2 linked regions of the Ovis aries genome follow. The protein of the gene in region 2 binds, or shares a complex with, the protein of the main gene of each other region. Links are inferred from orthologs where the notes say so. Each region holds a gene or a part of one and is shown on either strand. Other genes may lie near its edges.

Region 1 (4,275 bases), on a different chromosome or scaffold from region 2:
GTTGGCAATGGCTCGCCCTGTCTGACCATCCTCCACCCAGACATTAGAGGCACAGCCATTACACCCCTGCTCTTAGCTGCTGCTGCTGCTGCTGCTAAGTCACTTTAGTCGCGTTCGACCCTGTGCGACCCCAGAGATGGCAGCCCACCAGGCTCCACCATCCCTGGGATTCTCCAGGCAAGAACACTGGAGTTGGTTGCCATTTCCTTCTCCAGTGCAGGAAAGTGAAAAGTGAAAGAAGTCGCTCAGTCATGTCCGACTCTTTGTAACCCTATGGACTGCGGCCTACCAGGCTCCTCCATCCATGGGATTTTCCAGGCAAGAGTACTGGAGTGGGGTGCCATTGCCTTCTCCGCTACTCTTAGCTAGGAGGAGCTAAATTTATGTGGTGGGTGGGAGAGGAAGTAATTTCAGAATCTGGTTAACTAACACTGGATAATCCAAAGACCAGACCCTGACCATTGCACTGCTCTCGTGTGGTGAGCAAATGCCTGTTCTACATGGAAAGTGTAGATCTGAAGATGGGGCTCCTATATTTCCACATTGCACCTTCATCTCCTTTCTTCTTCCACGAGGGTCTCATTTTATTAAGGGTGAGGAGTCTCCAAGAGTGGAAACTTTAGTTTAAATCTTGTTTAGCATAGGACTTTTGGTCTGTATTTTTCATTGCTCTTTGTGCAGCTCCCAGCACAGTGCATGATACATAATGGGTGCTTAATATCAGTGTGCTTAATGACAAGGTTAAGAGTCAAGTCATCTAAACATATTGATATTAAGCACCCATTATGACTTAATGTAAAGATTCAAGGGCTTCCCTGGTGGCTCAGATGGTAAAGAATCTGCTTGCAATGCAGGAGATCAGGTTCTCCTGGGTCGAGGAGATACTCTGGAGAAGGAAATGGCAACCCACTCCAATATTCTTGTCTGGGAAATCCCATGGACAGAGGAGCCTGGTGAGTCACAGACCCGGGGGTTGCAAAGAGTTGGACACGACTGAGTGACTAACATACATACAAAGATTCAAAATTATTAGGATGAAGGATGAAGCGTATGATAACTGGAGGTGTACCTGTATGGAAAAAAGGAGGAAGTTGTGTCAAAATTCACTTCTTGGTGAAGCCACGCTGTGCCCCAGCAGCCTGTTGGCTGACAGAAGGAGGGGTCTACATCCGACTGTGGTTCTCCTTGAGTTGCCCCAATTTCCATGGATTAACCTAACCCTTAAGTAGGTCTGAGAAGAATGCAGGGCCTTCTGAAAGAGCTCATTTTAAAAAGCATCATAATAAGTTCTCAGATGAAACTGTCTGCATCAGCCAAAACTTTTGAGAGGTTGTTTCCAGCACAGGGAGACTCACACACCAGCCATGTTTACGGAACCCTTAGTCAGCTATTTTTGGTTTCATATCACTTTTTATTGAGTCCAGCTGGCAGATGACCACCTCAATCCCTTAAGTTTCAAAGTCAGCAACACTGGTTTTACTCTACGCCTTCCCTTGCTCTGAATGGAAGAAAGAAGGATGTGGGGGAAGGTGTGGTTCTCCTGCTCAGTGATTCAGCAGGTGGACAGTGCATTTTCCTACCCCAAATTCCCTCCCAGCCACAAGAGGGAAAATATTTAGAGGTACAATGCTGTCACTGGGCTTTTAAAATAGCTGAAAACAGGGTTTTGGACCAGTTTCTAAAGGTTCCTTTGAAAAATTCTTAGAGAAATTTGAAGGCAGAAATTAAAACACAGTACCAGTAAAATGTAGGACAAAGGGAAAAATAGCTGATACATCAATATTGGGAGTGCTCATTTATTTTAGGGCGGTAGCAAAATATTTGACATCATTTTAAAACTGGTTACTCATGAGATCATCCTTTTTAAAGGCGTAGTTGGGGCCCCCCTGGTGGCTCAGTGGTAAAGAGTCCAAGAGTCCGCCTGCCAATGCAGGAGACACGGGTTCTTCGATTCCTGGCCTGGGAAGATCCCACATGTCGCAGAGCAGCTCAGCCCCTGCACCACAGGCACTGAGCCTGTGCTCTAGAGCCTGGGAGCCACAATTGCTGAGCCCACGTGATGCAACTACTGAAGCCCACGCGCCCTAGCGTCATGCTTTGCAACAAGGGAAGCGCTACAGTGAGAAGCCCGTGCAGCAGAACTAGAGTAGCCTCAGCCAGCCACAACTAGAGAAAAACCCCCACACAGCAATGGAGATGCAGGACAGCCACACACACACACACACACACACACACACACACACACGCACACACATGCACACACACACGCACACACACACACAAAAGGCATATTGAAGAGAAAGGGGGAGCACAAATCATTCTCCTTCTCTGCCACCTCCCATCTCTCATTGTCCCAAAAGCCCAAGCCCACACAACACCCCCCCCCACCCCCCAGGCTCTTAGCTACCTACCGAATGACGCTGAGGAACTGGGTCATGGTCAATTCCTGTGGGACCAGGAACTTGGTCTTGTCCAGCCGGGGCAGGAACTTCTCCCTGGGGTAGCGCTCCACTATCACCTGTCAAGGGTTTCAACCTGAATCTCCTCTGAAGCAAATGTCAAAGGATACACCTCACTTTTCTATGTCTGAGGAACTTGGACTAGAAAGAAGGAGGTCACTGGCTGGTTTTGGTGTTTTGAATAGGCTCTCACAGCCCCCTCCCCCTAATCCCTGCCCTCACCCTCACTCCCACTCCCCAGGACAATGGAGTCTTACCGGGATCTTGCCAGGGAACTTCACTCTGATTCCAGCAACTTCCTCTCTTCTGGTTGCTGTGAACATTTAAGATAAAATGAGCACATCGGCATATACAGAAGTCTGTACCTTCTCTTGCTGTCTCAAGGGCCGAAACCCAGACAGCTATTCTGAGAGCTTTACCTAAGCTCTTCCTCTGCTTGAAAGGTCTGAGGCTTGGGCTTTTCTGTGGAGTCTGCATTTTGCTCAACAGTTGTGTCTGTGTCTGCCTGGAAAAAAAAAAAATCTCACCACCAGGACCTAATTCATCCTTCCAGCTGCTTCCAAACTGCCGGCAGGAGCCCAAAGGAGGCTTTTATGTAGGGCTGTGTGACATCACCCTTCTCCAATCCTCCCTTCTCCCCGGGCAGGAGGAGGTCAGTGCTGAGAAAGGAAATGAAACAGGCACCTGGTTGCTGGTTCAAGAAAGTTACTTCACTCACTACTATTTAAAAATTTTGTTTTTGCTAAACAAATTAAATTTTATATTGTCATTCATTGATCATCGAGGCTTCCCTAGTGGCCCAGAGGTAAAAATCTGCCTGAGATTGCAGGAGATGCAGGTTCGATCCCTGGATCAGGAATATCCCCTGGAGAAGGAAATGGCAACTCGCACCAGTATTCTTGCCTGGAAGATTCCATAAACAGAGGAGCCATGGGGTGGCAAAGAGTCCGACATGACAGTGACTAAAACAAAAAGCACTGGTCCTCCCTATAAATGGTCCTATGAGCCTAAGCTAAGAAGTTATGGATAGAAACAGTTTCATGTGAGGACATTGTAATACTACAGTAATGAAGCAAATTGAATAGTGATTCACCTTATCCTGAAATATATTGCTATTTTTCACAGTAAGAAATACTAATAGGTATTCCCAAAAGGTTGAACAATTTGTCCAGATAAAAATATGTAAAACCAGTGTTAAAATCCAGCTGTGTAGCAAAGTAGTATTTCCAACATATTTTGTTCATATTTTTACAGGTCTAGGAATGTGTGTAGAACACTGGTTGTTATTCTCAGGATCTTGCATTTAAGATGATAAAACTGAGATCCATAGAAGCTGATTCACTGGTCTCCTTATTCTCAGATCAGGGTGTTTCACCTGATTGTGCTTCTTTTATGCATTAATTATGGTTCTAGTGATTCAGCTTTCTCATTTGATGCTGATCACCTCCTTACCTTACATCCAGGAGCACAGTGGTCCTGCCATCTTATTCAGGTATGTCCTAAGAATAAATAGGACCATTTGGACTTCTTCCATGGTCTCTGAAGGTACCATGACTTTCATGGGTCATCCCTGGTTCTGTTCCATGCAGGACATCGGACATTGAAGTCTTCAGCCTAATAATGATGACATAGAGAAAACCAAACATTCTCTAGGTTTGTGGAGAGACACAAAGAAAAGTAGTTTATTTTGCTTCTGTATGGGCTTCCCTTGTGGCTCAGCTGGTAAAGAACTCACCTGCAATGCGAGAGATCTGTGTTTGATCCCTGGGTTGGGAAGATACCCTGGAGAAGAAACAGCTACCCACTCCAGTATTCT
Region 2 (4,493 bases):
AGTTGTCTTTTCTTAAATGTTCCAACACACAAGAAGGAACTGTTCTGGTTGCTTTTCTTTCTTATGCTGCCTGGCCTTCTATGTACGTCCAATTTCACTTCACCAAGGAAGAAAGAAAAGAAAAGAATGGCTTAGATGAGACTTACACCAAAGGAAGAAAAGAACTGCTGGGCTTCTTCAGTTCTGAAACACTCCATCCATCAGTGAACAGCAGCCTCCTCTCCTTAGAGACTTCTCAGCTATTCCCAACAGCCTGCTCTCTACGGCCTGAATCCAACCCTGTACGGAGCTATTGAGAACAGTCTGGCATTTAAGCCATCCAGCTGCTGTATGAACTGATGAGTCATGGTTTACAGTTGGAAAAGAAGGACAAAGTTATCTTCTGATTCAGAAGGGCAGCTGATCTTTCAGACATGTGAGTGCTGAGTGAGTAAAGTATACCTCTTTCCACCTGAAGACAGTTGCATTTCTGGACAAGTGTCTTGAGGCAGGAGAAGTGAGTGGGGAGAGTGTGGAACGGGCTTTGAAGTCATCAGATGCCAGCTAGAGGGAGAGAAATTTCTAGCCCTGTGATTCCCAAACCAAAGGCTAGTGAGTAAGGCCAGAAATGTGAAGTCAGTGAAGACAGAGCAATTTTCTTTCCTTCTTCCTTCCTTCCATCAATAACACCCATCTGCCCCATATTCTTGTCTCATCTTTAGGATTCCAGCAAGGACCAACTAACTCTGAATGAATGATAACAGGAATTTTGTCTGACTCATTCACCATTGCATTTCTGGTGCCTAGAGCAACACACAGCACACAGCTGTGCTCAAAAAATATCTACTGGATGTACAGAAGAATAAAACAAAAATAAGGCTCAGGGCACGAATCTCCATTTCACAGGCTGAGGGAAGCTGAGGTATATGGTTCTCAGCCAGGACGGAACACCTTCCATTAAACCACCCTGCCAGCTGGCTAAAACTATTTCAATGTATCCCACCTTAATAGGGTGCCGAGGGGGACACTGAAGGGAGAAGAGCATTCAACTTTTCAAAGGAACAAGACTATAAATGGCAAGAGGGCGTCCCTGGTGGTCCAGTGGCTAACATTCTATGGTCCCAGTGCAGGGGACCTAGGTTTGATCCCTGGTCAGGGAACTAGATCCTGCATGCCGCAATTAAAAAGATCCTGAGTGCTACAACTAGAACTCAGTGCAGCCAAATAAGTAAATAAATATGAAAAAAAGAGACTAGGAATGGCAAACAAAGACAACAGGTCCTATTGGGGACCCTTTAAAATTGCTACCAAATGGCCTCTAAAGCCAGGTCGTCAGAATTTGAAGAGAATGTGTACCCCCAAAGCCCAGGCGATGATAAATGCTGAAAGTGGGGCCTCAGGAATGTCCCTCTGCCTCAGCTACTCAGATATCTGGGCTCCCCATGTTCATGGGTAACCAAACGGGCCAAACTCAAAGATCCAGCACCTGCAGAAAGAGGAAGTGATTCAGCAGCCGCTGTACCCGCCTGTAGCCCCCTGGGAGCCCTCTCACCTACGCTCCTCACAGCATGTAACATCATCTCTGGCATCCACTGCGTTCCCTGTGTTCAGTGTCAGGACAGGCCTGCTCTCAGCTCTAGCTGGCAGAAGCACCAGGCGAAGGTCCATAACAAGTGACCACACTCATGAACATGGCTCTGTGAACACTGCTACACAGTGGTACTCCCTGAGCTTACTCCCGGCTAGAAAACCAACCAACAGGAAGTGATGGCTTCCACTGCCCCAGGCTATGTGGGAGCCAGGTGAGCGGCCATTATTCACCTTCCAGGTATCTGGTGACACCTACCATTCCGGCAGCAGCACAAGTCATTTAATATGAATGTTAGACATACAATTTCAGGGGGCAAGTCCAGGGGACCAGACACCTGGGAAAAATATCCCTGACGCTGACCCAAGGCAGGGAGCTCTACTTCTCCACACTTACCTACCACCTGAGGCCCTGCCTGCACCCATCAAGCCCCTCAGTGTCTAACTGCTGGGTTCCCAGCAGGCAGTGACATTTGGCTGTTGAGGGGCAGCTGGTGAGGTTGGCAGGGGGACTCTTCACTAATTCTCAGACTGAGTGGGGACTGGGTTAAGGGGAAAACGGGTGTAGAACTGAGATGGGGACAGCAGAGGTGAGAGGGCAGGAGACCTCATTTTTAGTAAGATTGGGTGAGGACGTTAAGAACTGGGCACCAAGAGTCGTGGGCAGTTTAGCAAAGACTTAGGGACAGGAGTGTCCTCTGATGGTTGGAGATGGATAGGAAGTCTATGGTGGGCTAAGAAGTGAGGGGTTGAGTCTGTGAAGGCAAGAGGTGTGTAAGACTTGAGAAAGGGCTGAGATCAGTTACCAAAAAGAAAAACCGTGTGCTCAACAGGGCGTCTACTTTGGTGGTGGGTCTTAAAGGAGAGTGGGACAGAGATGGGGTCTTCAGGATGGGCATACCTTGGGGGGCTGAGCAGAGGGTGTGTAAGATTAGGGTAAGAAGGCTGATCATGAAAAGGGCGAACCGAACCAGAATCGAGGTTAGTGTGCAGCATGAGGATCGCCAAAGGGGTTGGGGGGAAGCAGAGGTATGTGGTCAAGGTCAGGGGTGGAACTGGGCTACAGTGAGGTCAAGGATGAGGCTGCATTTACGCAAGACCGGTGGGGGGAGGGGGGAGGGTGGTAAGCCCTAGGGTCAAGTCACGAGTGGCAAATGGAGGGGACAGGCCAGCAGCGGCAGAGCGGGCCGAAGGCTAGGGTTGGAGTGGGGCGCGGAGCTTGGGCTGGGAAGGGTGAGGGCTCAGAAGCAAGGCAGTCTCAAGGCAACCAGGGGTCTGGATTCACGGAAAGGGCTAGTGTCCCCTTGCCCATATGCGTCCCGGCCTCGCCGCCCCTCTGCTGCCCGCCTCGCCCCGGATCCTTAACTCACCGAAGGGAGAAGCGAGGGGGCGGGGGCACTGCCAGCCGCTGCAACCCCTAAGCCTCGGATGGGACGCCGCGGCCTCCCGGCCACTGACAACAGGAAGCGGCTCCCGCGGCGCCTGACGCCGTAACGTCAGCTCTGCGTCCGGCCCCGCCCCTGCCCGTGGAGCCAATCGTGGGGCCCGGAGGGGCTACGGGGCGGGGCCAGCGCTCCCGTACCTGAGGATTCTCAGCCCCGGAGTAGATATGTGGTCTGGGAGGCTCACGGTCACCGTACCCTAGCAGGGCACCGAGAAGCAAGGCCGCCGGCGCCCGGCGGAATGCGTCCTCACTGCCCGCCTGCCGCTGCACTGCCCGCCTTCCGCTGGATCTGTGTCAGACGAGATCCTGGCTTCTGAGTTCCCGACCTCATCTGCGTAGAACTGGGGCCGTCACTTGGCCTCCAGAGAAGGTTCCCCGCTTGTAAAATGGGACCAACGCCTACCCTATTTTTGCCTCCCCCAGGGACTCAGTGTAGCCAAATGGGCAGAGCCCAGGCCCAACTTGGAGCTTCTGTCCCGCCTGGCGTTTCTCAGGAAAAGCCTGTATATTTTAAGCACAGCTTGTATCAAGGGAACGCCTGCGCCACACTCGCTCAAGCAGTTATTCTCACGTAGCCTTGTGATTGTTTGCTTTCCGTCGTAGAAGCGATATTTCTCTTTCAAATGGAATCAGAATAGGGACTTCCTTGGTGGTGCAGTGGTTAAGACGCCATGCTGCCAATGAAGGGGGTTCCATCCCTGCTCAGGGAACTAGCTCCCACAAACCAATGAAGTCCTGACGCAGCCAAATATTTTTTAAAAAGGAGGGGTACAGAGAACCAAAGGTCAAAAGTGGGGGTGGGGGGGTGGGTCCTGACATTCTTGAGACATTTAACACGAGCAGGTTTCTATCGAGTGAGACTAGGGCCTGCGTGTGGAAGAGGTACCACTACACGCAGGGCCTTGGACTTTGGGGTGGCTTTACAGGACTGGGGGATGGGGGACACACCAGTTCTTGGGAGGAAGCCCCGCTGATCCCTGCTGGGATCTTATGCTCCATCCACCTCTTCAGGGAAGATGTCCCCCATATCTCTGGAGAGGTTGAGGTCCCAGTGTAAGCAGATAGAATGGGGGGATATGGGGAAGTCCTAGGAGGAAAAGAACTCAATATAGCTTTTTGACATAAGAGAAGCCATTTTCTGCCTAAGCTGTTTCGTGATCTAAGCCTGGCCACAATGCTTCCCCTTGAACAGGTCTTAGTAATTAATGATCTGAAAGGAACAAAGGATTGCAATCAGGAAGCAATAATTCAGCTATGAAACAAGAATCCTAGTTCCTCCTCAAGGGCTGGACATAATCTGATACACATCTTTGAGTTGTGCTACAGGAACTAAGTCCCCCTTGCCCCCCTCACCCGACATCCCCACCCTTCCTCCCACCAAGTGGAGGGTGGTAACTGCATGCTCAGTTACCAGCCTGAAGGAAAAATAAGGAATAATGTTGACCTTTTCTGACTTTGTGACTTCAATCAACTAAAACCTGAA

What was found.
Region 1: the proteins of PLEKHM1 (region 2) and MAP1LC3C are in contact, whole or in part, in a crystal structure (PDB 5DPW), measured with the Homo sapiens proteins. The link is inferred for Ovis aries from reciprocal best matches to the Homo sapiens genes PLEKHM1 and MAP1LC3C. Residues at the interface, in NP_055613.1 of Homo sapiens: Glu632, Asp633, Glu634, Trp635, Val636, Asn637, Val638, Gln639, Tyr640; in NP_001004343.1 of Homo sapiens: Phe13, Arg16, Lys17, Glu25, Ile29, Phe33, Lys36, Pro38, Asp54, Lys55, Thr56, Lys57, Phe58, Leu59, Val60, Pro61, Glu63, Leu64, Ile72, Arg76, Phe114.

The regions. Positions count from the first base shown.
Region 1 is NC_056065.1:34,213,744-34,218,018, forward strand, and holds the start of MAP1LC3C (microtubule-associated proteins 1A/1B light chain 3C), read right to left. Parts: upstream 3,026-4,275; 5' UTR 2,937-3,025; coding exon 2,879-2,936; intron 2,773-2,878; coding exon 2,717-2,772; intron 2,519-2,716; coding exon 2,412-2,518; intron 1-2,411.
Region 2 is NC_056064.1:44,871,164-44,875,656, forward strand, and holds the start of PLEKHM1 (pleckstrin homology domain-containing family M member 1), read right to left. Parts: upstream 3,035-4,493; 5' UTR 198-3,034; coding exon of another isoform or gene 147-197; intron 98-146; exon of another isoform or gene 1-97. UniProt on the Homo sapiens protein: Acts as a multivalent adapter protein that regulates Rab7-dependent and HOPS complex-dependent fusion events in the endolysosomal system and couples autophagic and the endocytic trafficking pathways.